Linked DNA regions of Ovis aries. The protein of the gene in region 4 binds, or shares a complex with, the protein of the main gene of each other region. Links are inferred from orthologs where the notes say so. Each region holds a gene or a part of one and is shown on either strand. Other genes may lie near its edges. The genes, in order: SLC7A11, SLC7A10, SLC7A8 and SLC3A2.

The links.
Region 1: the proteins of SLC3A2 (region 4) and SLC7A11 are in contact, whole or in part, in a cryo-EM structure (PDB 7P9V), measured with the Homo sapiens proteins. The link is inferred for Ovis aries from reciprocal best matches to the Homo sapiens genes SLC3A2 and SLC7A11. Residues at the interface, in NP_002385.3 of Homo sapiens: Glu167, Leu170, Ala173, Trp178, Thr181, Arg182, Phe189, Trp190, Trp193, Met196, Leu197, Gly199, Ala200, Ile203, Ile204, Ala207, Arg209, Cys210, Glu212, Leu213, Lys299, Arg534, Gln559; in NP_055146.1 of Homo sapiens: Leu151, Phe154, Phe155, Ile156, Gln157, Cys158, Glu159, Pro161, Leu163, Ala164, Leu167, Ile168, Ala170, Val171, Thr174, Val175, Val178, Gln217, Gln219, Val360, His373, Thr487, Gln489, Ile490, Ile491, Glu493, Val494, Val495.
Region 2: the proteins of SLC3A2 (region 4) and SLC7A10 are in contact, whole or in part, in a cryo-EM structure (PDB 8WNT), measured with the Homo sapiens proteins. The link is inferred for Ovis aries from reciprocal best matches to the Homo sapiens genes SLC3A2 and SLC7A10. Residues at the interface, in NP_002385.3 of Homo sapiens: Phe161, Thr162, Gly163, Leu164, Lys166, Leu169, Leu170, Val172, Ala173, Trp178, Arg182, Leu186, Phe189, Trp190, Trp193, Met196, Leu197, Ala200, Ile203, Ile204, Ala207, Pro208, Arg209, Cys210, Arg211, Glu212, Leu213, Arg534; in NP_062823.1 of Homo sapiens: Leu147, Val150, Phe151, Asn153, Cys154, Pro157, Ala160, Val163, Leu164, Met166, Ala167, Met170, Leu171, Trp174, Ser352, Val359, Glu481, Thr484, His485, Trp486, Gln488, Glu489, Leu490, Phe492, Val493, Val494, Tyr495, Gln497.
Region 3: the proteins of SLC3A2 (region 4) and SLC7A8 are in contact, whole or in part, in a cryo-EM structure (PDB 7CMI), measured with the Homo sapiens proteins. The link is inferred for Ovis aries from reciprocal best matches to the Homo sapiens genes SLC3A2 and SLC7A8. Residues at the interface, in NP_002385.3 of Homo sapiens: Thr162, Gly163, Leu164, Ser165, Lys166, Glu167, Leu170, Ala173, Gly174, Trp178, Arg182, Leu185, Phe189, Trp190, Trp193, Met196, Leu197, Gly199, Ala200, Ile203, Ile204, Ala207, Arg209, Cys210, Arg211, Leu213, Lys532, Arg534, Asp558, Gln559; in NP_036376.2 of Homo sapiens: Leu147, Leu150, Phe151, Pro152, Thr153, Cys154, Phe155, Pro157, Ser159, Gly160, Leu163, Leu164, Ala166, Ile167, Leu170, Leu171, Trp174, Gln294, Ser352, Met356, Val359, Glu481, Thr484, Leu485, Gln488, Lys489, Met490, Cys491, Val492, Val493.

Annotation. Positions count from the first base shown.
Region 1 is NC_056070.1:19,473,686-19,481,062, reverse strand, and holds part of SLC7A11 (cystine/glutamate transporter), read right to left. Parts: intron 4,840-7,377; coding exon 4,713-4,839; intron 1-4,712. UniProt on the Homo sapiens protein: Heterodimer with SLC3A2, that functions as an antiporter by mediating the exchange of extracellular anionic L-cystine and intracellular L-glutamate across the cellular plasma membrane.
Region 2 is NC_056067.1:43,152,917-43,161,025, forward strand, and holds the start of SLC7A10 (asc-type amino acid transporter 1), read right to left. Parts: upstream 4,138-8,109; 5' UTR 4,028-4,137; coding exon 3,877-4,027; intron 3,614-3,876; exon of another isoform or gene 1-3,613. UniProt on the Homo sapiens protein: Associates with SLC3A2/4F2hc to form a functional heterodimeric complex that translocates small neutral L- and D-amino acids across the plasma membrane. Preferentially mediates exchange transport, but can also operate via facilitated diffusion.
Region 3 is NC_056060.1:21,541,290-21,548,666, reverse strand, and holds part of SLC7A8 (large neutral amino acids transporter small subunit 2), read right to left. Parts: intron 4,628-7,377; coding exon 4,531-4,627; intron 2,733-4,530; coding exon 2,583-2,732; intron 839-2,582; coding exon 661-838; intron 183-660; coding exon 28-182; 3' UTR 1-27. UniProt on the Homo sapiens protein: Associates with SLC3A2 to form a functional heterodimeric complex that translocates small and large neutral amino acids with broad specificity and a stoichiometry of 1:1.
Region 4 is NC_056074.1:37,692,315-37,700,419, forward strand, and holds the start of SLC3A2 (amino acid transporter heavy chain SLC3A2), read left to right. Parts: upstream 1-3,795; 5' UTR 3,796-3,947; coding exon 3,948-4,074; exon of another isoform or gene 4,075-8,105. UniProt on the Homo sapiens protein: Acts as a chaperone that facilitates biogenesis and trafficking of functional transporters heterodimers to the plasma membrane.

The DNA.
Region 1 (7,377 bases), on a different chromosome or scaffold from region 4:
CCAAAGAATTGGAGTTTCAGCTTCAGCGCATCCTTCCAATGAATATTCAGGACTGATTTCCTTTAGGATAGATTTGGATCTCCTTGCAGTCCAAAGGACTCTCAAGAGTCTACTCCAACACCACAGTTCAAAAGCATCAATTCTTTCTTTATAGTCCAACTCTCACATCTGTACATGACTACTGGAAAAACCGCAGCTTTGACTTGATGGACCTTTGTTGACAAAGTAATGTCTCAGCTTTTTAATATGCTGCCTAGGTTTGTCATAGCTTTTCTTCCAAGGAGCAAGCATTTTTTAATTTCATGACTGCAGTCACCATCTGCAGTGATTTTGGAGCCCAGAAAAATAAAGTCTGTCACTGTTTCATTTCCCCATCTATTTGCCAAGAAGTGATGGGACTGGATGCCATGATCTTAGTTTTCTGAAGGTTGAGTTTTTAGCCTATATTTGATTAGGTCATCACAGATATTCCAAATGAAATACTGTCTGCAACTTTGGTAGCTAGTTTTTAAACTTCACATCTGCTTAGGAACAAGGCTGAGTGCTGTCAGTTTTTCTTCTTTCCTCCCATATTTAACTTTTTGCTTAAAAATCTAGTTTATTACTTGAGATCCAATAGGGCTGGGCCATACAAGAAGTAGTCTCCTTTCTCAGTAAGTCAACAATTAAACTCCAGCAGAGTAGGGATGAGTTAACAGCACAGTCTAATGGGTTCAGAAAAGGAACACAAAACTCAACTTTAAAAAATTACTATTAATAAATGTTCATTGCAAATATATGCTTACATGCTTGACATTGTATTAGTCTAGATTTTTCCAAACAGAAAAACCTTGAAAAGCCAAATGATTATTCTTAATTCCATAGAAATATTTAGGTGAAAAGTATGTGTTGAGAAACAAAATTAGTCTTGTAATTTTATAAATAGAGAAAACATGAATGAGATAAGAAAATGAAATAAGTTCAGGTATATAGTAAAACAGGTGGCAAATGATTCTATTTTAGCTTTTCAATTTTCTGTTAGAAAATGACACAGGCCTTTCCAGTTTAAATATACTGCATATGAATGCATGTTTGTTAGATACACAGGCAAGTCAATGGAATTATTAAATTTCCCATGCCAAGTCTTCCATTTTAGTTTATCTTCCATCTCATGGTTACTCAACCTCCAGGTCTAACACCTAGATTGTCAGGAAACCAACCACTATTATGTATTCCAACCCTAACCTGCTGGTATTAGAAACCAAGATAGATTTATTTATTTTTAATTGGAGGATAACCGCTTTACAATATTGTATTGGTTTCTGCCATGCATCAATAGGCATACATATGTCCCCTTCTTCTTTTTTTTTTTTTGTCCCCTTCTTCTTGAACCTCCCTCCCAGCTCCCACCCAATCCCAACTCCCCTAGGTTGATACAGAGTACCAGATTTGACCTCCTTGCATCATATAGAAAATTCCCACTGGCTATCTATTTTATCTGTGGTAATGAATATGTTTCAAGGCTACTCTCTCAAATCACCCCACTCTCCTCCTCCCCCATGTCCATAAGTCTGTTCTTTAGGTCTGCATCTCCACTGCTACCCTGCAAATAGATTTATCAGTACCATCTTCCTAGATTCCATTCATATGCGTGAATAGACGATATTTGTTTTTCTCTTTCTGACTTCACTGTGTATAGCAGGCTCTAGGTTCATCCACCTCACTAGCACTGACTCACATGTGTTGTTTTACAGCTGAGCAACGTTCCATCGCATATATGCACCACATCTTCTTTACCCATTCACCTGTCAATGGACCTCTAGGTTGCTTCCATACCCTGGCTATCGTAAACAGTGCTGTGATAAATACTGGGGTGCCTGTGTCTTTTTCAATTATGATATCTTCAGTGTGGATGTGCAGTAGTGAGATTTCTTGATTTTTTTTTCCAAGACAATCTCCTCCTGACCACAACAAGACATTTTTCTAATTATCCATCATTTATAAATTTCTGATGTGTAAATTAAAATCTAATAATGTCATTTTAGTGCTTTCAAAACACAGTCAGAATCCACAAAAATCCTTCAATACAAGGCTCCATCTGGTCAAAACTTTCCCTTCCTCTTCCGTGTGCTTTCTCCCACTAGAAGGATATGGATGCCCTTTGCCTAGAACCCCTGAAACTCACTGACAGTTTCTTATACCTCAGGTCTTAGTTCAATCTTTTTCCCGAGGAAGCTTCTTCAGTCCTCTAATTGCGTTAGATCTCCCAGAGTATTCTCTCTTGTGGAACTTCATAGCCCCCCTTTCACATGTGTATCACAGTAGCAACTTTTCATTCTCTTACACGATGTCTTGATTGATAATTGTTTCCCTCACTTGACCGTGAGCTTCATGAGTATGACTGTGTGCTTATCAATCACTATTTCATCCTCAGTGTGTGGTAAAGCGTCTAGTAAATTGTCTGTCACACAACAGAAAACTAATGAATGCATGGTGAATGCATGAATTCAAATGACCCCGATGTATGATTTCTTTTTAAGATTTGTTACAGATTATTTCTGACAAAAGGGACTTAATCTGAAGTACAATTTTAATAGCAAATATTTAGGTACCATGGGTACTTTCAATGGAAGAGGAATGTTATATTACTCAGGTACTTTGTCACCCCTCAAGTCTTTCATTACTCTGAGAGAATAACTGAGTAATGTGAGTCCTTATTACAAAGAAACATACGAATCCATTACAAAAGCTAGAAAATATATAGGTAATTGCTTCCATAAACACATACCCAGTGAAGTAGCTGTCTAAGGTAATACGATTATAAGCTACTTGAGAATAAGAACTGAGGCTCACTTCACTTTAGATCTTTTTAACTTGCCATACACCATTCAGTAGCATAGTCTGTGGAATGAGCAGATGAATGAATGAGCACTGTGTTGGTGCTACTAGTGCAAATGGAATGATCAAGACCATCATAACGCTGAGCAGTTAACCAAAGTATGGCTAACCAACACAATTAGCCAGTACATGGCTGGAGAGGGACTCCAGCTCAGCTGTATCAGGCCCCAAAGCCCACTATTCTGACAGGCCACCACTCTAAATAAGTATTGTACTTATTTAACTACTGAGTATATTTTATTCAAACTATTAGGGTTGGCAAAAAAAATCTGTTAGGGATTTTTCATGCCATCTTAATGGAAAAACCTGAATGAACATTTTGGCCAACCCAATATAACTTACTGAAAGATTGAATATTTACTAAATTTTTCAACTGCTATTCAAAAAGAATTTAATATATGACAATTAGTTGCATTTAATATATGACAATAAGTAGTATAAGAGTTACAAAAAGCGAGAGACCTGGTTTTGTATGCTTGAAATGCTTGCAGTTTTAACAGGGAAACAGAGCATAGATTCCTAAAATATTCAGTAAGAATATAAGCCAACATGTTCAATGTCAAATGAGAAGCAGAGACTGCATTTTTTTTTTTTCAGAAGAATTAAGAGAGGAAAGAAATACTATAAACTAGGGTGAACAGGAAATTAACTGTGGAAAAGATAGAACTTAAGTTGACCTTTGAAGAGTAATCTTCATATTATCAGAAAAGAGTGGAAGGCACCTCCCAGGCAAATCCCAGAGTTTAGAAAAAGAACAAAATACTTCTTTATCATTATTTCATAATAATAAGTTTTAAATAATGCAAAATTGCTTAAAATGAGAACAGACTTAACAAAGATGTAAATACTATTCTAAGCTCTTTGCTACAAAAGAGACTCCTAGGACTATAAAAAACAAGATTAGTGTTAAGTCAATACTTATTAGCTCTGCATTTACCACTTAGCTCTAAATGATAGGATAAGAGCTCACAGGAGCTTTCAGCTGTGTAAGTCTGATAAGTTTACAGTAAGAACAAGTTTCTTTAATTATTTCTGTTAAATTCTGCTGTCAGAATGTGCTAGTCACATTTCATGGAAGCAGTTTGCTTTAAGGATAATCTGAAGTTCTCACGTGACATCATAAGTTTCCCACAAAATTGGAGGAAATTTGCTATTCAGAGTGACTTAGCATTATTTGGTTTGATTTTAAACCACGGCAATCAGGAAGGGGAATGCATTCTTACAACAATATAATCAAAAAGCTTTTCGCAACTGTAGTTCACTGATTTGTTTAACGTGAGGATATGAGTCATTGTGACAAGTGTGTGTGTTTGTTTTGTTTTGTTTTGTTTTGTTTTGGTGGAATATAAAACTTGATGACATACTAAGTTGCTAGGAGCAGAAGTTTCCTAGTCACGAAAACTGAGTAAACTGAAGATGGCTTAATGGTGTGATCTACAAGAAGGAAAACCCCAGTTCCTAGGAGAACATTTAATTTTGTCAAATTACAATTTATAATCAAACAAAAGGTCTGATTTATCATGGTAGATTTTGACAATTCACATTCTTTTAGGTCAGCATCTTTCCTGAAAATGACTTAGAGAATAGTTGAATGTTAACAACAAGCAGATGCTTTGAAAGTTTGGCATGGTTAGAAAACTACTGCCAGTGGCAAAATGGCACTAAAAACATCAATTGAGAAAGGTATTTCATCCCAGATTTTATGTCCTGAAGGAGACATATTTACCACATAGTCATGCATATTTCTAATTATTTAAAAATAATCAAAGTGATTCAAAAATGGGATAATGAATAGGTTTATTTTTCCTTAATCTTTTTTCTGTCTAGGCTCTTACCGTATAATGAGTAGTTCTACCCAGACTCGCACAAAAGCTGGTAATGGGCCAAAGACTTCTAGAATATACGTGTAATGACCACCAGATTTCTTTATACTAGTTCCCAGTTCAGCATAGGACAAGGCTCCTGTGAAATAATTAAGATAAAAAGGCACAAAGTTAAAATATTACCAAGTCATCCAGCAGTAGAATGGACACAGCAGTATTTCATGAGATGATACTACTTCCTTTGGTTTGAATGACACCCTTTTTCAAAATAAACAATACTAATCAAATTCCTAAGAACCTCCAAAGTCCTCTTGTAACTTCCTCATGCTTGAAATCTCGTTCATTCTGTTCAAGGTAATTTTACCTGAAATGGTAAAGACAAACTTCTAAAACAATATAATATTATTAAAAATTTTGAATCCACAATCCATTTTTGAAGAACATAATTTCACATCAAGACAAAGAATTATATCAAATTGACCTCATTATATTGAGCATCCTTTTAATAAATGATGTTTTTGTGACATATCAAAATAAATAAAATTCCTCTCTTCTCCTCAAAAGTATGGACTCAAGGTTTTGGAAGGCTTCATTTAATTTATAGGGTATGTTTTGTTTATCAACAAAATTAATTTGACTCAGATATTCTCTTTTTGAGAAAGTTTCTTATGGATGTATTTCAGAGTATCATTCCTGGGTGACTGAAATAAAAGTTTTGAAAAAGAGATGCTTTAACATATTTATGAACATGGAGATAAAATTAATTATGAACCAATTTTTAACATTTAGCAATAAAATTCACAAAGACTTGAGCAGATTATGTAATCTCTCCAAACCTCAGTTTCATCCTCTGAGAAATAAAGATTTTAATTCTCACCTCATAAGGGGATTGTGTGTATAAGTATGAAAATGAATGCCAAGGACAGTAACAGGCCTGACACACAGAAAGCACCTCATGAAATACAGCTTCACCTACTACTGTGAGCAAGTTATTGTATATATAATGAAAAGTATATCTTGACATTGTGTGAAAAGTTCTACCCATACTGTTAAGTACTCAAATGTAAGACATAATTTCTGCCTGAGCTACTCTGGAGACTAAAAGCGTGAGAAATTATTACTAATCAATAGAGCTTCAGGTAGAACTGTCCAACATAAACGTAATTTGGATATTCAGCAAAATCTTAATGTTGCTTATCCTATTTCCAAACTAGAACTCTATCAGAATCACCTGGGAATAATTTTTTAATTAAAATAAAAAATACAAGCACTAAGGCCATCCCCCAGACCTCCTCTTTGATCAAGAGAAGCCAGACTCTTTGACAGAGGCATCAAAGAAAATCTATAATTTTAAAATTAGCACAGCTAATTCTAAAGTAACTTAGTCTACAGATGGATAGTTGGGAATCACCGATACAGTTTGGCCATTTAAAACTAACTATAACTACCTGCAGTTCATTCTCTATTGGAAACCAGTTGCCATGTTGGTAGAGTGTACAAAAAATCATCCAATATTAAATGTTATTGGAAAATGTCTTAAGAACCTCAGAATTTATCTCCAGAGACTCAATACCTAGACTTGTGTATTCTTTGGTTAAATTCCAGGATGGTTGCCCCAGGTTTAAATTGAGTTCTGGGAAAGTGAAATTTTCATTTGAAGGTCTCAAGCTCCATAACCATATTAGTCAGATGAAAACAGTTCAAAATAGGATGTAAGAACCCATGTATTAAACCTGGCTTTAAACAAAATTGTAAACACAATATACACATTCTATACTCTTAGTTCCAGAGTTTTAAGACAACGAATTTTTTCCCTTATATTTTGCTTTGCTTTCTGTTAGGAAGGCACTCCTGTCAAAAGTTCCTAGGAGCTCAAGTGACCAATGTAATGCAAACATCGATAAATAGATTAGTATAGAAGCATATTCCCTGTGATTAGTAATCAAAGAATACCAACTCAAGTGTAAACTTAGCTAGTCTCATTAGTTTATTTTTAATCACTTGAGATGACACACTTATGCAGAAGCATATTTTCTTAGTACAAGTCAACATCACTTTAACTAGTTAATGCTCAGAGCCACCCATTTTATCATATCTGAAGAGCCTTTTATAGTATACAAAAATGGAATCACATAGTGGGAGCTGCATGCACACAGGATACAAAATCCAGGAACCTGGCTATGGTTTCTCCTATTAGACAATGATTTATTCTGAATATACCAAGTGTTGGAGAAGATTAAAGGCTGAGGGCACACAAAATCATTTAAGAAGATCAATAATTAGGTTTCTCTTTGTCTATAAATGTATATGCCACAAAATATGAATACCATAAACCCTTTGTAAACACCTAAATATAATTCCTCTGTTGATATTTCTATATTAAGTTTTTATTTCAACAAGTTTTGTTTAAAATACTTTCTTCCTAATCATGAAAATTTGAGTTCTCTAGATAAATGTTCAAACCAATGCATGAAAACATTGCCAAGACCTTCAGAATAAACAGGTTAGTCCATGTAGGACCAAGAGTTAGTAGTACTTGGTCCTAGAGAGTTAGGACAAAGAGTTAAAACCTTTAAAGAGCAGTATCTTTTGGAATAAAAAAGCACTATCTGCCAGAGAAGAGCAAATATATCTTAGACATTTGCCCCATAGTATAAATACAATTTAATTTTCTTGA
Region 2 (8,109 bases), on a different chromosome or scaffold from region 4:
ATCCGCTATCACCTAGACTCTACTCGGCCATATCCTTCATCCAGTTCATCACAAGTCCTTTGGCTCAATCTTCCAGACATGTCCAGGACTGAACCTCCTCTCAGCACCTCCATTAACATCACCCTGCTCTCTGCCACTATTATCTCTTACCCCGGTGACTCCTGACTGGGCTTCCGGCTTCAGCCCCTGTTGCCCGCAGCCTCTCCCCCAGAGTAAGCCCCAGGCCACGTCATGCCATGCCATCCTGTTCTATTCCGTCCTACTCCACCCCACGCCATCCCTCTTCTGCTCAAAGCCCTCCTCGGGCTCCCATCTGACAAAGAAAAAGAGGCAAGGTCCTTACTATGGCTGCAAGACCCACAAAGACTGGACCCCATCCCATGCCTGACTCATCTCCTATCTATAAACCTCTCTCTATCATCTTCTCACCTTAGCATGTAATCATGACCCCGTCAGCTAAACACTCAGCTGGCTTATCTTGTTTGCTCTTCGACTTCTCACGCTGGAACGTCAGCTCCAGGAGGATAGGGGTTTGTCTGTCCTGTTCCCTGTTGTGCCTCCAGCATCTAGAACAGGGCCCTGCACTGTTTGGTACCTAACTGTTGAATAGATGCATGAACATGACCGGTGCTGGCCAGCCCCACCCTTGTGGCTGGAGCTGCCTCAGCCCCCAAGGGTGTTCCAGAGCACACCAAAAGCATCTGACCCTGGGCCTCAGGTCCCTACTTCTCTCATCTGCAAATTGGGGCTATGGTGAAGCAAAGACAGGCTGGTGGGCGAGGGTTCTGAAGAGGGCTATTCTGAGCAGCCCAGAATCTCCAGCCCTGGAGACAATGGAGGGACCTGGCCACAGCTGGATGCATAGGTACTGGCTCCTAAGGAGATGGGGTTCAGAAAGGAGACCCCAGAGCCCCAGAACACACTTGAGCCTGATCCACAAACACAGGCCAGATATTTGGGTCAAAGGGAGACAGTGGAGGCCAGGACAGCCTGGTCAGCAGACCCAGGTGGTTCTCACTCTGCTGAACCTGGGCACAGTCCCTCCTTGGGCATGAATTGGGGAGGTAGCTGTTTGCGGTCCCTGAGTCAGGACAAGGGATCCTGTACATACAGCCTTGGGTGGGGGTGAGGAGTCACAGGAGATTTCTCTGTCCACCTGTTTGTCTATTTATAGTAGAGTGAGGAGTTCAGTAAATCTTGGTTGGATGAGCTCCCAGCTTAATCCTCAACCTTCCCCTATCATGGGCTCTGAATCTGGCTCTGATTTTGCCCTGCACCACAGCAGTGCGAAGAAGCACGCTGGACTGGGAGAGGAGTCCAATTCTGGTTCCAAATAGCAAGTCCACCCCTTGCAGCAGGATCATTTAACTTTCAACAGCAGTTTCTCTATCTATAAAGTGGTATGAAAATTCCCATCTTGCAAGGTGGGCAATCACGTGAGATAAAGGGAGACCGTGTTTTCATAATGTAGCCAGGCGTGGTTTTCTGAATAGATGGATGTAGTGATGTCTTGCACAGCTCCGGCCCCAGAGGACTCTTTTTCCTCCAGGCTGGTTCCCTATTCCCCTCCAGCTGTGCTTGCTTCAGTGGTCCTAAGCACGTTTTAGGTGGAGTCTTTTTCCAGCCCAAAGCCCTACTCAGCCTGAGGTAGGGGCTGCAAGGGGAATTATAGGTTCTTCTGGGAGAATATTTGGAAGTTTTGGAGATAAGAAGAGTAGCTGCTAACAAACAAGAAAGATTATGAAGAAGGCCATAAAGTTCTCAAGACTTTTTAGGCTAAAATAGGACTCTCTGAAGATATTTTTTACTCTGACCAGGCTCCCCAGAGCAGGAACGTGAGATAAGACGTGGGAGATGTGGCCCCTGGAACAGTGAAGAGGGGACCTTCAGGGTGTCAGGAGGGAGATGGTGGTGCAGTGATTCAGCCCACACCTGCCTCGTCTGTCACCTTCTGAAACAGGTCCATTCTCCCCTTGTCTGTTTTCTGCCCAGGCTAGCCTCCCACCTGCTGAAACCCTTCAAAACTCCCCAAGTAGGGTTATAGGACCACCCCTGAGTGTCCTGGGCTGCGGTCAGATCATCTGGGCTCTGTTTTTGAGTCTGCCACCCTTGGCTAAGTCACTCCTAAAGCCCAGCTCAGTCTTCAAGGTCTGAGGCCAAGGGAACAGTGGCCCTGAACAGCAAAAATGGCATGAGAGGTGGGGAAGCTGGGAGGGCAGACCCGTGCTGCACAGAAAAACTCCTGCTGAGTTAGCCTCATCTGCTCCTACCATCACCACCAGGGCCCTCTCAGGAGGCGAGATGAGCCAGCAGCCTCTGCCTGACTCAGGGGAGTGGGGATGGGACACGGGGAGAAGGCAGAGTAGGTCTATGCTTGAGGATTCTGGGTTTAGCTGAGGCAGCCCAGGAAGAATCACGTCTCTCTCTGTCCCTTCTGGGCACCGTAGCTGGTCAGCCTCTGGACTCCCTGGTCCACCCACGATGTGTTGGCTTCCTCTTGCTGGGGGCACAGCTCCTGGAGAGGGTGTGGGTCAGGGCAAATCTCTAGCCAGTACTCTGACTGAATCCCTGGAAGGAGCCTGTCCTCTCAGCAGACGGACAGGGGCACTCGAGGTCAAGAAGGGCTCCAGACCAGATCAGGATCAGCCCCTAGAAGATACCTTTCCAGGTGCGAGGGGGTGAGACAGAGGGGTACCTACCTGCACAGGGGCTGTGTCCTGGGGCAACTCTCAGTGTGAGTGTGGGGGTTGACCAAGAGCTAGACCCCAGACTTGGCCCAGGAGCTCCAGTGCGGGGGCGGGGGCGGGCAGCGGAGGAGGAAGTGAAGACCCCAGACTGTCCTCCTGAGCCCCCAGCTTTTTCCATCTCCAGGGATCCGAGATGAACAAGCAGCTCCCACTGACTGGGGATGGGAAGCATGAGCAGGTGATAAAGGGAAAGCAGTCGAAATCCACTCCATTCATCCTTCCAGCCCGTGTCTCCTGGGACACTGGAGGTGGAACAGACTCCTCCCACAAGGGTGTCTGGGGCACCTTGTGTGAACACAGGTCTGGGTTAGCCAGTTCCTGAGGTGTCCGTGTTCATGACTTGGGACAGCAGGAAGAAAATCCCACCACTGTTTTCACTGGGCCCTGAGCCCTCTGCCCACCCAGAAGTCCCCATATGTGGGCAGGATGTATGCACTCATTCTCAGGTGGGGAAGCTGGGCCAGAGAGGATGCGAGTGGGGTCCCAGCCCAGGAAGCCTCTCTGCAGGTGGGATCTGCCCACCCCAACTCAGCCACCCCATCACTGCTGATCCGCCCCCCTGCGCCAGGGTCCAGCTGCAAATCTTGGCACTAATTACATTCTCTGAACCCATTTCCACTCTGGGCTGTTTCTACCTGTCCAGGCTACCCACAGTCCCTCCTGCTTTGGAAGAATAAATCCTTCACACGCTCTGGCACCTGGACCCTGCACACGGTAGGAACTCTGCTGGAGCGACAAGACCCAGAACTGGGGGGGCCTTAGCAGGAGGCCAGCTTACAGTGTCCGCTCACTTGGCAAGGCTCCTGCACTCAAGGCAGGACCACATGTTAGAGATGATAAGACTGAGAGAAACTGCCCTGCAGAAGTTTAAAGAAATAAGGGTGGCAGGAGGATTCCAGCGGTGGATGGGACCTGCACCTCGTTAGAGCGCTGAAGTTCGGGCCACTTGGGAACTCTGCGGCTGGGGTGTGAAGGGAGACGCCGCATGTGCCGCGGGCGTGCATCCTTCATCCATGGTCCACCGTCGCGGACCGCTAGGCGCACCCGGAGAGGGGTGCTCCTTGTCCCAAGCCGCTGTCCGCCTCAGGCCTCACCGCCCCAGGCACCCGCCCGCCCCGGTCCCACTCACCGATGATGATGGTACAGGCGCTCACCAGCCCGATCTCCTTCTTGAGCGCCACCCGCTCCGAGGTGCCCGGGCCGGGACCCCGGCCGGGGGAGGGCGAGGGCGCAGGGCCCGGGTTCCCGCGCCCGCTCGGCTGCTGCGTGTGGCCGGCCATGTCGCTGTCCCGCCGCGTCCCCGCTCCCCGCGCTGCCCCGTCGGTCCGACCGGCCGCCTGTCCGTCCGGCTATCGGTGCGCGCCGCCCTCGCAGCCGGGACAGCGCCCACAGGCGGGCGCATGCGCGGGCGCGGGGCCCGGGCCCTGAGCCCCGGCGGCGGGGGCCGGGGAGGGGCGGAAGGAAGACCGGCCGGCAGCCCCCTCCCCCACCTTCCTTAAAGGGAACTCTCCCCCCCTCCCCGTGGCTCTCCCCGTCCCATCCCGGGCCTGGAAAGAAGGAGAGGACTTGGGGCAGACTTAGGAAGAACTTCCCAGACCCAAGAAGGCTTAAGAAGTGGGTCTTCCCGCTGCCTGAGTTACAGCCATTCCTGGGGTGGGGGTAGGGGAGCAGGGCTCAAAGGCAGGACTGTCCCTGCCCTCAAGGAGACTGAAGGAAGCTGGCCACCATCATAGCCGTCTGTGTGCTGAGATCCCCTGTGCGCCAGCGCTGCCGGACCCCTTACATCCTGGCACGGGTTCCTAGAGCGCGAGTGCCAGGAGAGGGATGGAGGTTGGGCCCATTCTCCGGGTGGACGCTGAGCTCCCGGGACAGAAAAGGGAGCTGACCGAGTGGCTTGCGCCAGGTGCAAACCCTTTCCCATGCCGCCTTGGCCTCCTGACAGACGCTGGGTGGAGGGTGTAGGAGCTACAGTTCTCCAAGGGGTATAGGTTGTGTCCGGGATCCCCTCGAAGGGGTCAGGAGACCCTAAGCCCACGCCATCAAAAGTCTGGGGAGACGGGGTCGGGGTGAAGACTTTGGAGCCCTCAACGGCCATCCAGAGGGGACCCAGTGCCTCGTGGGGGGCCTGGGAGGGCTTGGGCTCAAAACCCCACCTTCCCTCGCTCTCCGCCCAGCCCGGCTCTGCGCTGAGCCTGGCAGGTTCTATCCACAGGTGAGAATTCGGGCTCGGTGCACCAGAACTCGGGTCTCTGGCGAAGGCCCCGCGCAGTCCAGCCAGCACCAGGAGACGAGGCCAGCTCAACTGCCCCGGAGACGCGGAGAAGGGGGCCCTGGCCTCTGGGGTCACAGGCGGGGGTCGGGTGTGCAGAGTCCAAGGGCGGTTGCCGCTGCCTCCTCCTCCCGGAAGCCGTCAGGACTGCGCAGCCCGGCCCGGCGGAGCAGACACGAGGGGGGCCGCGTCGGGAGCCACCAGGGCGGCGGGAGGGGAGAGTCTGGCACGGTGCGGCCGGCGGCGGAACAGCCTTTGTCCCTTCCTGGCGGCCGCCGCGACGCGCTGTCCCCTGAATGCGGATGAGCCGCGCCGGGCGACCCGCGTTCCCCCCGCCCGCGGCCTCCGACGGGCGGACGGGGGTGGGGCGGGGTCTGGCCCCGAGCTGGGCTGCGCGCGGAGCGTCGGGCTGCCGGCGTGGCGGCGCACCGGCGTTGCAGGCGAGGGGGACCTTCGGAGCCGGGGGTGGGGACCTGGGAGTAGGCGTGGGACGACCCTGGCGGGACGCGGAGGGGGAGGCCGCCCGGCGGCGCTGCAGCCCTCGCGCTCCCGTCGGAGTCCCGCATTCTTGGCGCCCTCAGCCTCCCGCCCCAGAGACGCGTTCAGCGCGGACTCTCTTAAAGGAGCCTCGCGCGGGCGGTGGGGTGAGGGCAAGCGGCGCGAGCTCTGGGGACTTTTTAATTGTCGCGCGTGATGGGGGCTGGGGTCTGACCTGTTCGACTCTCCGCACCCAGCTAGCCTTGCAACGATAAAGTCTGTTGGGAGAGGGTCCCTCCAGGGTTGGCATGAGCCTCACGGGCCAGGGGCCTGTGGTTTTCCAAGGTGAGCCTCTCATGGTCCTTGAAATGTGGAGTCGGTGTTTCAGGAGGTGGAGGGGGGTTGACCCTAGGGCACTGCGCAGAATGGAATTTGCATTTTGTTTTCCAGGGCCACAGTTCAGGAGGTCATTTTAGTGGAATACACCTGAACTTGCAAACCCTGATGGGAAAAAAAGTTGGCAAGATTGGTTTACCATCCAAATGACAAGAGGTATATAAGGCCCCACATTAACAGGAGGAAAAAATAAAATCATAGGGTGTTCTCAAAAGATTCAGAAAACAGTCTTCCACGATTTAAACAAACCAAAAAACCTGTTAGCAAATTAGAAACAGTAAGGAGATTTCTCAGTTTGATAAAGGTATCTTACCAAACCCTCCAAAATACAGGAAACAACAAACAAAACCCATTCAGTAACTTCGTGCTCAATGGCGAAATGATTGCTTTCCCACTGAGACTGGAGATGAGAAGGAATGTTAGTTAGCACTCTTTTCTATACAGTACTGGGAGGGTGGTCCTCCCAGTGCAATAAGGCAAGAAAAAGAAGTGATAAGACACAACCTTTTAATGACTAAAATCTGAAATACTGACAACACCAAATGCTGTCGAGGATGTATAGCTACAGTAACTCTTACTGGTTGCTGGTGGGGATGCAAAATGGTACAGCCACTTTGGAAGATAGTTTGGCAATTTTCTTAAAAACTAACATACTCTTATCATACAACTCAGCAATCGTGCTCCTTGGTATTTACCCAAAGGAGTTGAAAACTCACGTCCACACAAAAATCTTCAGATGGATGTTTATAGCAGCTTTATTCAGAATTGTCAAAACCTGGAAGTAATCTAGATGTCCTTCAGTAGGTGAATGGCACATCTACAGTTTAGATGATAGAATAATGTGTGCTGTGCTTAGTCACTCAGTCGTGTCTGACTCTTTGCGACCCCATGGACTGTAGCCCACCAGGCTCCTATGTCAATAGGATTCTCCAGGCAAGAATACTGGAGTGGGTTTCCATGCCCTTCTCCAAGGAATCTTCCCAACCCAGGGATCAAACCCAAATCTCCTGTACTGTAGGTAGATTCTTTCCTGTCTGAACCACCAGGGAATCCCTTAAGAGAATAATACTTAGCACTAAAAAGAAATGCACTATCAGCCATGAAGAAACATGGAGAAAACTTAAATGCATGTTATTAAGTGAAAGAAGCCAACCTGAAGAGAATAAAAAAGGTATGAAGATAGGAAAGGAAAACATACGACTGTCATTTATATGTAACACTGTTGGATAGAAAATCCAAAAACACTTATATTATACAAAACATTTATGTTTATGACTCAAGGTTAATCAGGTAGTTTAGCAAAGTGGCTGATTTTAAAACATAGATGAAGAAGAACAAAGCTGGAGGACTTACACTGCAGTTAGGAAGACAGGTGCAAGGATAAACAAATCAACTAGGAGCAGAATAGAAAATGAGAAACAGACTCATTCATTTTTGGACTCCTGTTTTGTTACCACAAAGTTGACATCACAGAGCAGGGGAGAGAAATGGGACGGACTTTTCATAAAATGGTGCTGAATCAATGAAGTGTCCGTATTGGAAAACAAACAAAAAAAACCCTTCATCTCTGCCTGACACTATACCCTAAAACCAAGTCCATGGATGTGCGCATGAAAGCTGAATGAACTCGTGAAAGGTAAAGCAACCAGGCTGCTAAAAGAAGACTTAGAGGAAAGAATAGATTCATTGCCTTACCCAGGACACAAAAGGCAAGGTCAGTAAACGAGTGATATATTTGACTCCTTTAAAAATAAAAACTTCTGTTAATCAAAAGTCATGACTAAGAGAGGGAAAAGTAAGCCACCTTTGAGAGAAGTTATTTCAGTACATATATCTGATAAGGGACTTGTATCTTAAAAAAACTACAGATTAGTAGGAAAAAGACTTCTTATGTAGGTGCTTCACAAGGGAGCATGTCCAAATAGCTGGTAAACTCTTGAACAGGTGTTCAATCTCATTAGTCATGAGGGAAATGCAAATTAAAACCAGAATGAGCTACCACGGCACGTCCATCACAGTGCTTAAAAGTAAACACCACTGTCGCCAAGGATGTGGAGGGAGTGTGCCTCGGTACACCAGCTTGGAAGCCTTTTTGGCAGTATTTCTAAACTGCTATGGGCTTCCCCGGTGGCTCAGCTGGTAAAGAATCTGCCTGCCAATGCAGGAGACGCAAGAGGCGCAGGTTTGTTCCATCCCTGGGTTGGGAAGGTCCCCTGGAGA
Region 3 (7,377 bases), on a different chromosome or scaffold from region 4:
GAGGCAGCTGAGAGGGGAGGGTGGTCCTCAGGGCCCCACTGCGTCCTTGTCCTTGGAGGCAGGGGGCTGGCAGATGGGCTGCTGCTGCTCCATGTTCTGGTTCCTATCCTTCATCTTCAGGTCCTCGGCCTCCTTGGGGTACACAACTACACACATCTTCTGACTCACCAGGGTCAGCAACTCTGTAGGAGGAGGCCACACAGAAGGCAAGTCAGTGCTGAGCATCCCACCAAGCCAACCAACCAGGCCAAGGCCCTTCCTGCTCTCCTGCCTCAGCATCTGGCCTCAGCTAGGCTCCTCTAGGAGACTCTCCAAGAGATGGCCGCCTTGACTGCCTCCTCCATTTCTGGGACACCTATTTGCTGGCTGCTCCTCCTCATCAAGGCCCCAGGCTCACTGACCACCAATTCTGGGGTCTCCACCCAGCCCATGGCAGCCTCTCCAGGATGACCACACTCTGGCAGGCCTAAGGTCTGCGTGGAAATGCCCAGAGTTCTCCTCTCCTCGGAGGTCTCTGAGCAGAGACCTTTCCTGTGGCGACCCTTTCTCCAGTGCTCTGTAGACAGCCTCCTGCTCCTGGTGGGGCTCTCTAGCCAGACCAATGACCACTCGACTCCAGACCAGGGGCCCTCCGGCTGCCCATAATGTTCAGCAACTCACCAATGAACTTATTGAAACACCTGGGCTTGTGCTGCCAGTAAATACCCAGGAAGTAGACCGGCACCCCTGTCACCATGATGGCCAGGCCGATGCCACACACCACGGGCTCTGACCACAGGCTGAAGAGCAGCAGGAAAGCCCAGAACAGCAAGTAGATGATGGGGAACAGCAGGCTGACCTGTGGATCAGAGTTGCTGTTACCTGTGTGGACCCTGTGGCCCCCAAGATCAGAACATCTTCCCTCTTCTTCCCAAAGGGAAGCATTTGGAGGGCAAAACTGGGCTTCACTCAGCTCTGTGGCTCCCCGACCCTGAGCCTTGACAGAGCAAGTGCTATGTCGAGAGATGTTGGTGAACGTGGGCAGTGGGACAGTAAGAGGAGTGTGGGGGCCTAGGGAGGGGACAGTCCTCACTGTCGTCCCAGGAGGGATCTAACAAGGCTTCTTCATGCAGCTGCATGCCTGCGGCAGTCAGAGAAGCCCGTGGGGGTTGACGGGCTTGCTGGTATATTGCTCTATGTCTGCTGAGGGCTGAAGGTGAAGGAGAGCAGAAGAAATGAATGAGGGCAAGAAGGAAACTTCCTGTCAACCAGACCCCTACCCTCTCCCAGCTGGCAGGGTGTGGGAAGTGTCCCTCCTCTCACCAGAGTCAGTTCCAATTTCTTGTAAGCAATTTGAAAGATAAACCTTAAGCCATTTGAGCAGATAAACCTAAGACCCAAGAAATCAAGAAAGCTAGTGTGGTATGAGGCAGCCCGGGGCCTTGTTTACTTCAGGAAGGAGCAAACTTTACAGGCCCAACATCCTCTTGTTGACCACAGGTGGGAAGTCCCCCATAGTCTTCCTCAAGGTTCTAGACTTACTGCCTTTCTCCTCCTTGTCCTCTCCTCTAGGAGGGTACGCAAGTGGTAAGGAGATGGCATTATTCTGCTTCCTCTTCCCTCTAGCACACCTTCTAAGCATGGCAGGAGAGTGGCAATGGAAAACAGAGATGTGAAGAGCATCTAGTCTCCCTGCGTTTCCAGAACGTGTGTTAGTCGCTCAGTTGTGTCTGACTATTTGTGACCCCATGGACTATGGGGTAGCCCGCCAGGCTCCTTGGTCCACGGGATTCTCCAGGGAAGAATATTGGAGTGGGTTGATGTGCACTCCTCCAAGGGATCCTCTTGACCCAGGGATTGAACCTGGATCTCCCGCATTACAGGGAGATTTTTTTACTGCCTGAGCCACCAGGGAAGTTCATTTCCAGAACAGGATTGTTCAAATAGCTCAGGGATATACCCTCTTCTTCTAATTAGCAGGAGAACCTATAGCACTCTAGCATATGTTGTTCTGAGCAATCCCATTTATTCCTATCACAAAATTATTTCTTATAAATCAAGAGATTTACCAGGCATCCTACAGCTATAGTAGTCTAAAAAGGGAGGATCATGGAGTGCTGAAGTGGACTGGGAAACTTCAAGAGAGGTTCTTGAGGGTGGAAAATGGTTAAAATTTGGAGAGGGAGATGGGAGAAGGAAATTCATTCTGGGATGAGATGGAAAGACTGAATGAGTAAAGCCAGTTACGTGGAGGGACAAGGCGGAGACTAGTCAGATTAGAAGGTCCAGGAAAAGTCAGCTGACTTTTTAAAGACTTAGAGCCATAGGAAACAAAGGAATGACACGATGGAAACAGTGACATGATGGAAGTTATCAGGTCGTGGAACCTATTCCCCTAGCTGCAGTTCGCTCTGGTCCCATGGAGAATGGAAATGCCTGCCCCCTTTACACACAGCCTTTGCTTCCCAAAGGGTCTCCCACCATCGTGGAGATGGTGAGGCTTGGTCAGCAGTGAGAACAAGGTGATTTAAAAGAATCTGAGCTCAGCTAGAAGCAGTGGAGGAGGAGGAAGGGGAGGGGGCCCCACAGGGAGGTTCTAGCACCTTAATGGGGCGATTGATGTCCGGCTTCTTCCAGCGAAGAACTATCTGTCCGGCAACCGTGACGCCATAGAAGAGGTAGTTGATGAAGCCCACGTAGTTGATGAGCGTGTATATGTCGCTGGTGACAAGCATCAGCAGGGTGGAGATGCACTGGGGGGCGTGGAAGAAGCTCATCAGTAATCAGAAAGGCACTGGGAGACCACAGATAAGCTGTTTACTGGTGGCAGGCTGCTCCCCTGCCTCTAGGCAGACAATGCCATTCCACAGTGGGATCTCTCAAAATGGAGACTTTATAGCTTCTCCTAGAAACCCAGGTCATTGCTAACAGCTTCATCACCAGGAAGTTCTTTCTTACTGCAGGAGTGATAATCAAAACATTTAACCACAGGCACAACATGGGCACTAACCACTCAGAGCAGATGCTGGCTGTATACACCTGGACTGGCAATGCTGGTGGCACGCAGCTCTATGCCACTCTGGGCTCATTTATATTTCTTCCTTAGTTGAAGCTCAAGCTAATTTTGTCTTTTATCCCTTAGGGAAGACTGTTAACTGCAGATTAAGGTTCATTCTTGCCCTCATCCTCTTTTCCTGGTTGAGTCATCTAATTTATTTTTCTTTCTTTCTTTTTTTTTTTTTTTAATGTCATAAACAGTTATATAGCACTTCCTAAGTGTCAGGCTCTAGTTTTAGCATTCTGCAAATATTAACTCATGTAACCCTCATAATATCCTTCTGAAGTTTTCTGGACAGAGTTCACTTTCCAACTTCAAAATTATCTCAGGGGATCTCTCAGAAGCATATTCTTTTCCCTCTGCTAATTTGTTAAGGCCAACAGAAGGCTCAGTTCTCCTGTAAGATCTGATGGTGAAAATAAGAAGAATTTAAGGGATGAAAAAGCCAGATTCTTACTGTAGTTGCCTTGTAGTCATAAAGAAAAGAAAGAAAGTGAAGTCGCTCAGTCACGTCCGCTCTTTGCGACTCCATGGACTGTAACCTACCAGGTTCCTCTGTCCGTGGAATTTTCCAGGCAAGAATACTGGAGTGAGTTGCCATCATAAGCCTGCACCAATGGCACAAACTAAAAAAAAGCTTGTGGCTTACTGGGAGCACTGAGCCTTCTCCAGCTGCCTTTCACCACTAACCAATCAAGACGACCTTCTTCCTGTATCGGAACGTTCTGAAATTTCCCCTAATGTACAGTGAATGCCCTTGACTCTTGAGAGTTCTGCTCTCTGATCTAACTGCTTCTCTGTTAGACCAAAGTCATTTTTGATATTTTAGTTGGGATCCAGAAGGAAAAACAAAAAACCAAAGACTCACTGGGGATGTCTTTCTCCTTCTGTATGCTCTATATAAATGATTCTACTCTGGTGTAATTAATTCCGCCTCCATTTACCAGATAACCCCCTTGTTTTCTTTTCTCCACTTTCAGTTTACCAGTCTTCCCTTCTGATTTTTCTTATTTGGTGTGACACCAGATTTGGTGAACACCAGATTTATTTCAGTGGTGTTTCCCCAGAGACTGGCAGAACCTCCTCCGGCAAGAAGGTCGATGGGGAAGGGTGGGAGTGTGCTGTGATCAGCCAGGAGCAGAGGCCCAAAGCTGCAACCCTGCGGGTCACAGGGGCAGGAGGAGCCAAGGAAAAAAGCTTCTTTGTGAGCTTCTGGAATCTGGAAGCAGCTCCTTCAGTCTGACTCAAAAGGATGGAAGAATGAGATGAGCCGGCCTGGGAGCCTTAAGGCATTTCAGGACTTAGGCTCCTTCCTTGCTATATCTCTTGATATTAATCAGGCCCATGTATACCATTTGCTAGATTATCAGAGGCCCCAAGAAACCTAGGAGGACAAGGGTAATAGCAGCACATGTGGGAAGTATGAACTCCCAGTTCAAAATAGCACAAAGGGGGAGGGTGTGTATAGGGCTGGCAGAGGGAGGGACCCTTACTGTGAAGAGCAAGGCTGGGATGGGGGTACAGCGCTTCACGTGGATCATGGCCAACACGCTGGGAAGGTGGCCCTCCCTGGCTCCGGCAAAGAACAGCCTGGCAGAGAGAAAAGCAGGTCAGCCTGGACCATCCAAGGCTCCCTCCCTAGCCCAGCTCCCTCTTCCATGTCCACCTCTGCCCATACAGGAGCATCTCCACTCCAGCCAGGTACTTCTCGTGCACACCTTCCAGCCCACTAGTCAAAGGACCCACGTTCACAAATGCAGGTGCAGGCAAACCAGAGGCAGTCAGTGGATATTTGGATGGATTCAGGGCTGTGGAGACCTTGAGTGTGGTCTGCGGTTCCTGATGACGTGCTGTTACTCTGAGAGTCTCTCACAAAGCTTGGAGAGCTGTAGGAGTAGCCCCTCTCCTTTGCTTAATGCCTTAATCCCTTAAGAAATGTACCTCCCCCCTCAGAGGATATAGGTTCTTTGGGGCATGGGGAATAAACTGTGCATGAAAACATATATCTTGGTCAAGAAGTAGTTGCCCTTGTGGGGGTTGGGGAATGGATTTGGATGAGGAAGGGACACATGAGAACTTGGCGGGGGGGATACGTGGAAATGTTCTATATCATCGTGTTTTGGGTGGTAGTTATACGGTTGTCTACAAACATCAAAATTCATCAGTCTGAGCACTTACGATCTGGTATGTAAATTATACCTGAAAATTTATATCCTTAAGCTACTTATTCTAATCCCAAAAAACCATCCTAAAGAAATGCATACAGTTAGTAAAAGGAGTACATACAAAGATATTGTAAAATAAAAAAGATTGAAAAAAAATAGACAAGAAACTCAAACTTTTTTTTTTTTTCTGCACTGTACCCTAGTTTATAGGCTCTTAGTTCCTTGACCGAGATTGAACATTGGGCCCTTGGCAATGAAAGCATGGAGTTCTAACCACTTAACTTCCAAGAAACTCGCCCAAAATTATTTTTTAAGTTTAAAATAATGATAATTTTTCTGTCTGAGATATTTGTAGACTCATATGCAGCTGTAAGAAACAATGTGACCTTACGTAGACTTCACCCAAAACTCTCCCATTGGTAATATACTACAAAACTATACTATAGTATCATGACTTGGATATTGATGTTTACAAATTATTTTTTAAAAGAGAGATTTTAGGGAGTTCCTTGGTGGTCCAGTGGTTAAGAATCTGCCTTCCAATGCAGGGAACACAGGTTTGATCCCTGGTTGGGGAATTAAGATCCCACATGCTGTGGGGCAACCAGCCCACACACAGCTAGAGAAGCCTGTTCGATGCAGCAAGACCCAGCACAGCCAGGATAAAAAGAGAGAGAAATTTTAACGTAGAGAGCAGCCCTTCTTCCTCTTTCCTCTCCCAAGAAAAAAGAGAATACTGTAAGCTGTTAGGAGTTATTTACATATTAGCAGAAATTAGACCACTTTTTCTTTTTTCTATGATTTTGGAGGGAAAGGATCAGCTAAGGGGTGAGAGGAAGGGGATGTGATGGGGGGGACAGAATGGCACAGAGTCAGCACGCTGGGTGGTCTGGAGAGAACTGTCACTTTGTCATTTGGGTATGGGAGAGAGTGGGGCTATCAGCAGTAGCTCCTGAGGACTGTGAGGGTTGATTATGGCCCCAAGTACCCATATGCACACCATCGTTGCCACCATCAGCAAACTCGCCCATTTCAGTTTCATGCAGCTACATGGCATCGCCTCTGCAGGGCAGCCTCATGCACCCAGCAGGGCCCCAGGCACTCTGTGGGCCTCACCATGCACATAACCAGGGTCCCACGTTCATCTCTCTCCTCCACATGCAGCCGGGACCAAGCGAGTTGACAGGTCCAACAGCACTGGCAAGTCAAGTTCACAAGAGACAATCGCTGCCCGGCGAGCCAACCACGGAGCAGACAGGACATTAAGCATGACACACACATACACACGCCCACTCCTCAGGAAGAATCATCCTCTCCCTTCCCCCAAACACAAAGGAATAAGAGAGAGAAGGAGGGGTGGGGGGAAGGAACTGGAAGGATGAGCTGAGGAGGCCTGCTGGGTGAGCTGTGCCTCTGACTCCAAGGCTGAGCGCACCGGGCCACCGCCTCTGCATGCACACACAGCCGGACTACATGCATGCAGACCGCTGCTCAGCCTGCCCGAGGGACAAACCCCACTCTAAAGCAACTGGAGCCAGTCACTCTACTCCAGTAGATCCCAGAGAGCCTCATGGGTCACTGATCTTCCACCGCTCGCCCTTGGCTGGGGCCTCCAGGTGGCCACTGCTCCTGTGTAACACGCATACGAGGTTGCTGTGGGTGAGTGCTGGAGGGTCCTGGGGTGCAGGGAACACCCACACTCCCTCTTCCCTGCCCTGCCCTCTTCCCTTCCCTGTCCTGAAAACATGACACTTGTTTGTCATTTCATGGGAACTCTGCCCTATTGTGACTGGGGGCTTGGGAAGCAGCTGAACTCAGGGGCTCACTGCTTGTGAGGACTATGTCCTTGGGGGAGGAGGGGTTTCCTAAGAACCCTGGGAGGACCCTCTGAGCCACAGCAATGGAAATCATCCATTATCTGCTGGGCTCAACCACCCATTCTGGAGACAACAAGAAGGGACATCAAAGAGGGGGCCAGATGTCCGGGTGTGTGGAGGCGGGGGCTGGGGACTCCTGGGTCCACTCACACCTTGGGCTTCCCTGAGAGTTTGGGGTGAGAGATATGGCTTTGGACAAATGTTTCCCTTTCGTTCTTCCCCAGTTGTCTCACTTCACACCCCTACCTGAGTCTCATGGTGGCCACAAAAGGTCCTCCCACAACTGCCTGTCTGTTCA
Region 4 (8,105 bases):
GCTCCACAGAAATCATTTTAGAGATTCATGTGAAAGATAGGGTCAACAAGATACCAAAAGTTGACAGCCAATATTCTTAACTGGCGAGTCACTGTCTCCTAGTACCCAAAGTCTTAAGGTTTTAAGCACAGTTAAAGGGGTCACTCAAACTCAGTACACTTTCATGCAGAACTCCAAGGGGGCTCCCTGAATGATACTTCCCTGGGTTATGTAAAGTGCCAAGCTGAATGGGGAAAGCCATTTAACAATCTTTCTGGGATTATTTCTGTCCAGTCAGACCCACTCAAACACAGGAATCAATGAAGGTTTAAAAAAATTTTTATTTAGGCTGAAATGATTCAAATATGCTAAGTTGAACAGGCAATCTGTACAAAGATTTTTCAGTTTTGCTATCTTCTACATTAGATTCCTGTAGAGAAAAAGAAAAATGAGTTTTTTCTTAACTGGAATTTCACAAGTATATACCTGATGGGCTTAACAGTTATCCTTTAAACATGGTTAGTGTATTTAATACAAGTGCACGAACAGATACTTACCATTATGTGTGCTTTGTTCTTTCTTCAGATCTAGGGGGAAAAAATGAAAATCTGCCTTTCAACCAGTCATTTATTCCCCTCTTTGCCTTGTTGAGTAATTCTCATGATCCCTCAGACAGTTCCCTCTGGAACAAGCTTTCCTCTTCTCCCCCAGCCAGCCCCAGTGGGTTCACCTTTACAGGCTCTGGGACTAGGACAGGAAGTAAGACTTGTGAGGATTTCTTCACTGGGAAATTTTAACTTGACACACCTTGTGTTTAAGTCTACTCACCTCTCAACTTCAGACTAGAGCTGAGCAGATATATGGATGGCTTACTCCTTTCCCCTGCAAAAGATTGGGAACTAAGTCAACTGTCTCCAGGACAGGCCCATCTATAAAAGCTATGTAGGTTTCAATGGACATTTTACAGAATCACCAGCTAGTCCAAAACGTTTCCTGTTGGCTATAAAGCCACTCAATTTCCCACTACAGTCACTTTTTACTCCAAGGGAAACTCACAGCTCAGAAATACCTTTCAGTCATAGTGATCAGACTGGGGCGGTATTGAACTCATCACTGGTGAGTGGCAATGTCACGGGTGGTTCACTAATGGCCAAAGACAAACTTACTTTGGATTTAGCAAGTCATGTCTGCAGTTATTCAGAGCACCAAACAAAAACTGGTGAATTCTATACAGCAGCCATAGATAATAGACTTACCTAAAATCATTCTCAGGCACCAGACAAGGAGCTGTACCTAAAACACAAAGGCAACTAAGTCAGTAATGCTGGCTTCTTGCATTATAAGCTATTACTGTCTAAGCTACCATTCCCAGAAAATCAGATATCCGAGTCTCAACAGCAAATCATCAGCCGAACGAGATTCCATGTAAGTCATCACAGATGCCTAAAAAGGCATTTTCTCCCACTCAATACATTGTATGCACATATGGAGGCCACTCACCTCTGAGCGACGGTAACTGGCAATGTTACCTACAAGAAGGACAAAGCTATGAGTGATACAAATTCCACACACACAGTACCCCACTGTTGTCTTTCCCAGTTTCTCAGATGTTCATGTCTTTTCACTGTTTAAATCATAGTGAGCTAGTTTGATTCATCATAGAAACTGCCTACTTGGTGGTGTATGCCATACACACATTAATCAACTAACCTTTTAACTCTGGAGGCTTTCCAGAAGTGTGTATAGTAACAAGCTGCTCCTGAATGAGAAAATCATGTAATTAGCAAAATATCTAAAACAACCAAAACTATTCTAACTAGGGTTAATGGATAACCCAAGCCAAGCAAATGCTGTTCATTTGCTGTACCTCAGACAATTCCTCATGGAATGAAATTTCATCCTTTCTCCCAGTTCGCCCCAGTGGGTTCACCATTACTGGCTCTGGGGCTAGAACAGGGGTAAGACAGGACGCCTGCTTTCTTCATTGGCACTGGAGTTAAGCAACAACAAGCAAGGTTACAAGTACTCACCTCTGGACTCTTTGTAGGAGTCATCCTGAGCAGATGAAGAGGCATCTAGGAAATCAATAAAGATAAAATAAAAGATCAAGAAACAGCATTATCAGAAACAAGAGAAATCCCTCTATTTCCCACAATACTGAGAGAAGTAACTTACTGTAAGACAGATGACTCTATTAATGCTGTGACAATCTACAAAAGGGGAGAAAATGGTTACTCCAAAATACTAAGACGAAATAAAATTTCTTCATTAACAGAAACTGCCATCAGAACTCTAACATGCTATTAACTGTGGTACCTCACAGAGGATCAGCATTATCAATTCAAATCATCTGACAGTGAGTGATGTGTGGGTGAGGGAAGAGCACACCCTCACAAAACTATGCTGCTTGCTGGGCTGCCGACTCCCTCCCCAGGAAAATCATTCCAAGAGGAACAAGTTGGAAGGAGCAAAAACACTGCTCCACTGACCATTTGCTCTCGGGGTTGTTGAAACCACCACAGACCACAAACTTCCCATTTGAAAACTTACCTGCATTCACTCTGGGAGGCAGTTGAATTCCTCAAGACTGGTGAGGAGATGCTGGAAACAGAAAAATGAGCCATTATTTTTTAGTACTCGAGAACTACCATTAAAAGACCCTGGAGCATTCCAGGCCCACTTCTCAGTAGTAAGATGACATCATTTTTGAGTTCAGGCATATGCTTGTCATTTTACATTCATCATGGAGTGGCCAGTGCAATTTCAACCAGCAAGTCCCATCCCGACATTGTGCTTCTACCCCCCCATCTGCATAAAGCATCGGGTACCCACCTGCAGCATCACCACACTTGATCCACAGAGGGTTAAGTCTTGTCTCATCCTCCAATCTGTAAGCTCCTTTGAATTAAACCACATCTGGGAGAAAAAAACAATACCCTTTCTTACTTTTATATCTCGTAGTTTGACTGTCCCACGTTAGTGCCTTAACGCAGGGCTAAAAGCCCAAACGTCTGCTACGGATGGTGCTACTCAGAGTTTTTGTTTTCTCCACTAATCCATCAGAAAGAGAGAGTTCAATTTTTGAAATCATCCCCGTAGCACATCCCGTCGGACTCCCGCATATTCAGCAAGGAAGAAAAAAAGGACAGTAAAGGGAGGCCAGGAGCACTTACTCCAATGAGACCGGTTTGAGATCCTTCAGCGTTTGGCGCGCGTCCGAACCCTGCAAACAAATGATATTGGGTCAGCACTGTCTGGTAAACGCTTTGTTTCCCGGAGCTAAGACTGCGTTGCCATGCAAGGCCGGCCTCCTCAGAGTTTCTTATCCTCACAGAGTTCAGTACAGGTCTGTGAAAAGGGTCTCATCACAGAGAGGCCTGTCGGCACGGCCGGCCATCGCCATCTTGTCCTTCACAAAGCCCCCGTCCCTTCAAGGCCTCAACACTAAGGTCACGTTTTCTCTCCTCCCCCACGAACCCAATAGGTACCACAAAGAGAGGCCAAGGCCCGGACACGTTTGCACGGGCGTTTTCCTCGTAAACCTCAACAAACCAAATCACTTACCAAGAGCTGTGGATAAATGAGACTGAGAGGCTACCGCGAGACACATAAATACTATCTCGCAAAGGCCCACGGGATTTGGGGGCGGGACTACGGCGGGCGCAAGCGCAGAGGGAAATGGGTGGATTGTGGGTAGAGATTTCTAGAGGAAGTACGAGAGGCTGTGCGCCTCCTGAAGCGGTGGCGCGAAAAAGGTGCGCATGCGTCTTAGGGTGTGCGCAGGCGCGACTAATGTGGTGCCGTGGGTTCTTTACTGCGACTTCTTTTGGCGCCCAGGCGGCGAGTTACCTGCTTCGCGCAGATCCTGGACTGACGCTCCGTGTCGGTCACAGCTGACTGACCCACACCCTTCCCTGAGCATTCCCTTGCTTGCACACACTCTAGATCCGCGTGCAGAGTCCTAATCCATGGACCACGAGCCTCATGAACCCTCCGCTGGCGTCATCTCGGTTCCAAGCCAGCCGCCCAGCGAGCCTTCTGGGCCTGGTCCTCAGGGGCTTGGTCCTCAGGGGCCCAGCGCGGGGGGCGACTCAGGTATTACTGGGCCCCGGGCCGATCTCGAGTGGAGGGCTCTTGCATGGAACCGTTTTGGGAAAGTGAATCAGGTTGTAGGTGCTCTTGAAATATTATAACAGTTTTAGGATATTTTCTGTAACCGGCCACCTTTGTCTTACTGTCTGGTCCGATTTTGCTCGGAGCTTGTAGTGGGGCTAGCGTTAGCCGACATTTAAAACGCCGTTTTAAGGACATTGTGTGTGTGTGTGTGTGTGTGTGTGCGCTCAGTCGTGTTTGACTGCGATCCCATGGACTGTAGCCGGCCAGGCTCCTCTGTCCATGGAATTTTCCAGGCAAGAATACTGGAGGCCATTTCCTACTCCAGGGGCTCCTCCCTACTCCAAGAGATCTTCCCAACCCTGGGATCGAACTCGCATCTCCTTCCTCTTCTGCCTTGGCAGGAGTCGTCTACCAACTTCGCCACCTGGGAAGCCCCTTAATGCAGATTACCTGGAGGGAATCTAGGTGTAAAAAGCTTTTGCAGAGCCGCGTACAACTCCCGCCTGACAGGCAGGGTGGTTCCAGTCATCTATACCCTTGTTACTGAGGACAACCAGTTGTAGTTTAATCATTTGTAATGCATACCTAGGGTACATGACCGTTTTAAAAATGTACTATATGTACATTTTATAACCATTTATTAAGCTCTTACTGTGTGGTCTCCTGGATGATCTCATTTACTACTGCAACCCTAGGAGGAGGCCATAAGGTAATGTTAGGGATGAGGAGCCTGAGATCTGGAGGGGTTAATTAACTTGCTCAGAGTTACCCAGCTAAGAAATATCAGCCCAGGTGCAAATCAGCCCAGGCAGTCTTGATGACAGAACCTGCACTTTTGATCACTATCACTTCTCTGGGTATTTAGGGGGCAAACAAGTACACAGGAAACAAATGGCATGATCCTTGGATACTGTTTCTCAATTTTTTTTCTTGTTGTCTTCCTCTCTCCAGGAGCCTTTAAAACTAAAAAGCATTTCCCCCTCTAACTTAATATAACTGTGTAGGGCTTCCCTTGTAGTTCAGTCCGTAAAGAATCTGCCTGCAGTGCAGGAGACCCGGGTTCGATCCCTGAGTTGGGAAGATCCCCTGGAGAAGGAAATGGCAACCCACTCCAATATCCTTGCCTGGAAAATCTCATGGACACAGGAGCCTGGTGGGCTGTAGTCCATGGGGTCGCGAAGAGTTGGGCATGACTGAGCAACTAACACATATAACTGTGTATTTGCTTATATACTGCGGCCCTTTAGAGGGCCAGAAAGCTTCTGTGTAATATCTAGGATTTTCTGCCCTCTTCCTGCTCCAAAAGAACCAATTTTCACTACTTTGGTGGCAGTGTTGTCCCCATGCATGTCCCAGCGAAACAAAAGTGACAAAACAAATACCAAAAGAATCCCAATTTGAAAAATGTTATTATAGCTAGACTAAATTCATGTATTCAACAATGTTAGATGCTTGTCCAAGTGGGTGATTGAAAAGTTGTAACAAAATGTATAGAAAATGAAACAGATAAGGAAAATTCAGAAGGTCCAGAGTAGGCAAGGAGGTTGTTTGTGGGCATGGTATTTGGAGAATGTTTGTGGGCCTTAAAGGGTAGATAAGCAGATCCAGGAAGGAAATTCAAATTAGAGAAATAATCTGAGTGACAAGATTGGAGCTGGAAAAGTGTATAAATATAGTTCATGAAAGATGGGTTGAAGGGGAATCATAGAATATAAAGTTGGAAAAGATTTCCTAGGGAAGGCCAAATGAGAAGGGCTTGAAATACAAAGCTAAATAATTTGAACTATAGGTAGAATAACCTATAAACCAGGACTTAACTTGGTGGTCCCGTTAAGACTGGTTATGACTCTGCCTCCACTGCATGGAGCATGGATTTGATTCCTGCTTGGGAAGCTAAGATCCCGCACACTACACAGAGCAAGGTGGGGAAAAAGGGGTAAGTTGAGACAGGACATTAATTAGATTGTCACAGTAATTTAGGCAACAGATAAGTGGATTCAAGCATGATGAAAGGGAAATAGGAATGATTTATAATACATCAGAAGTCCTCAACTCACACCTGCAGGAATGTAAGTAATGCAGGTAAGCCATAGGAGCCTGATAGGGATCTTGATATGCTTGTCTTTGCTCCTGCTGAGTGTGCCTTGCCAGAATATTGTCTGAAAAATTTGATCAGGAGAATCCAGAAAACCAAAATTGTTGATTAATTTGCTCCTTAAAAATGTTGGCATGTTACTTAAAATTTTTAAGCATTTTCTCTGAGCCAATCAGAATATGCCTGTATACCCAAGGTGGCCCATGAGTGAGTTTGCATCAACTTCTGTAGTAATAGAGAATCCACTTTAGAAAGAGGGAATGTTAAAGATTGGATATTTTTTTTGGAAGTTGTTAACAGGTTGAGTGACTTAAACATCAAAACGGAAAAAAAAAGCCAGTATTCTTGGCAGTTGGAGATCATGGCCATGACCTTCACTTAATGTTTATTTTACCAATACTATTTATCTGTTGAGCATCTACTGGGTACCGGAGATACAACAAGGAACAAAGCAGCCAGTCCCCTTATGCTCCCTTGGAGCTTATATTCTGGAAGAAAACACAGAAACAGACGAATAATACGTCAAGTGGAGTTAAATGCTGTGGTGAAAATTCGACTTTGCTGGTGATACAATGGTTAAGACTCTGAGCTTTCACCACAGGGGGCACGGTTTTGATCCCTGGTCGATCCATGCAGGATGGCCACACACAAAACTGAATGAAATGTGTGTGTGTGCATGTGTAAATATATTTGCAAAAATATATATATATATATATATATTTGCAAAAGTGGTACAAAAAGGTTAGACTGTTACATAAAGGGAAATGAGAAAAATGAGATGAAAGAATTGGTGGAGGTGTTTTAATGTTAACCTGTATGAAGTGCTTTCTACGGCACTTTCCTGGCACTGTACTGAATGCTTTGCACATGTTACCTCAATTTGAAAAATAGTTTTTGTGGTTACCATCCTCATTTTACAAATAAGAAAACTGAATTTTATATCAAGTTACTTACTCAAGGACACATAACTAGTGTGGCAGAGCTGTTATTCAAATCTAGTCTCTACTTTTGACCCTGTTAAAAATGATCCAAAACTTGGAAATAGGCAAAAGTTATTACCAGGTGTCCTTTTGATAAAGGTAAAGCAGGCCTACCTAACTTGGGGATTACCTGGTTTTCCAGTGGGGCGTGTGCCTTCGTTTGATGTCCTTTTTATTGTTGCTCTAGGTATTTTGTAATTTGATAAGATTGCCTTCTAAGACGGAGAAGGAAATGGCAACCCACTCCAGTATTCTTGCCTGGAGAATCCCAGGGACAGGGGAGCCTGGTGGGCTGCCGTCTATGGGATCGCACAGAGTCGGACATAACTGAAGCAACTTAGCAGCAGCAGCAGCCTTCTAAGACATTGGCTGGTTTTGTATCTATCTATTAGAAGGCAAATTCATATCATTCTTATCTGGACTTTAAGCTGATGATCCTCCTTTCCCAGCATTCTCTTTTGAACCAGTTTTAAATTTTATGTATTCCCTTGTTAACTAATAGGTTGAATAAAATCTTTGATGTGTTTATATAATTATGAGTCATATTTTCAGTTTTTAAGATTATACTTTAACAACTCCTGGGGTACATTGCCTTTTGTTGGCCCATTTATTTATTCATTCAGAAAATATTTGTTGAGAGTCAGGATTTAAACTCAAGAAGTCTGACTCTGGAAGGAGCTTTAGACAATATGCCAGTGGAAGTCTAATACCATGCCACCCTCTGGCTAACATCTTATCTTGCTCTTTCCAGCAAATGTCTTTTACTTTAAAGATCTGTCTATACCTGCATCACCTGGATGTCTGTTAGAAATACTGAATCTCAGATCTTTCCACAGATCAAATGCGCTTGCATTTATTCAAGATCCCCAGGTGGTCTGTATGCACACTAAAGTTTAAGAGCACTGGATTTATACAATACTGCTCACTTCTTTCTC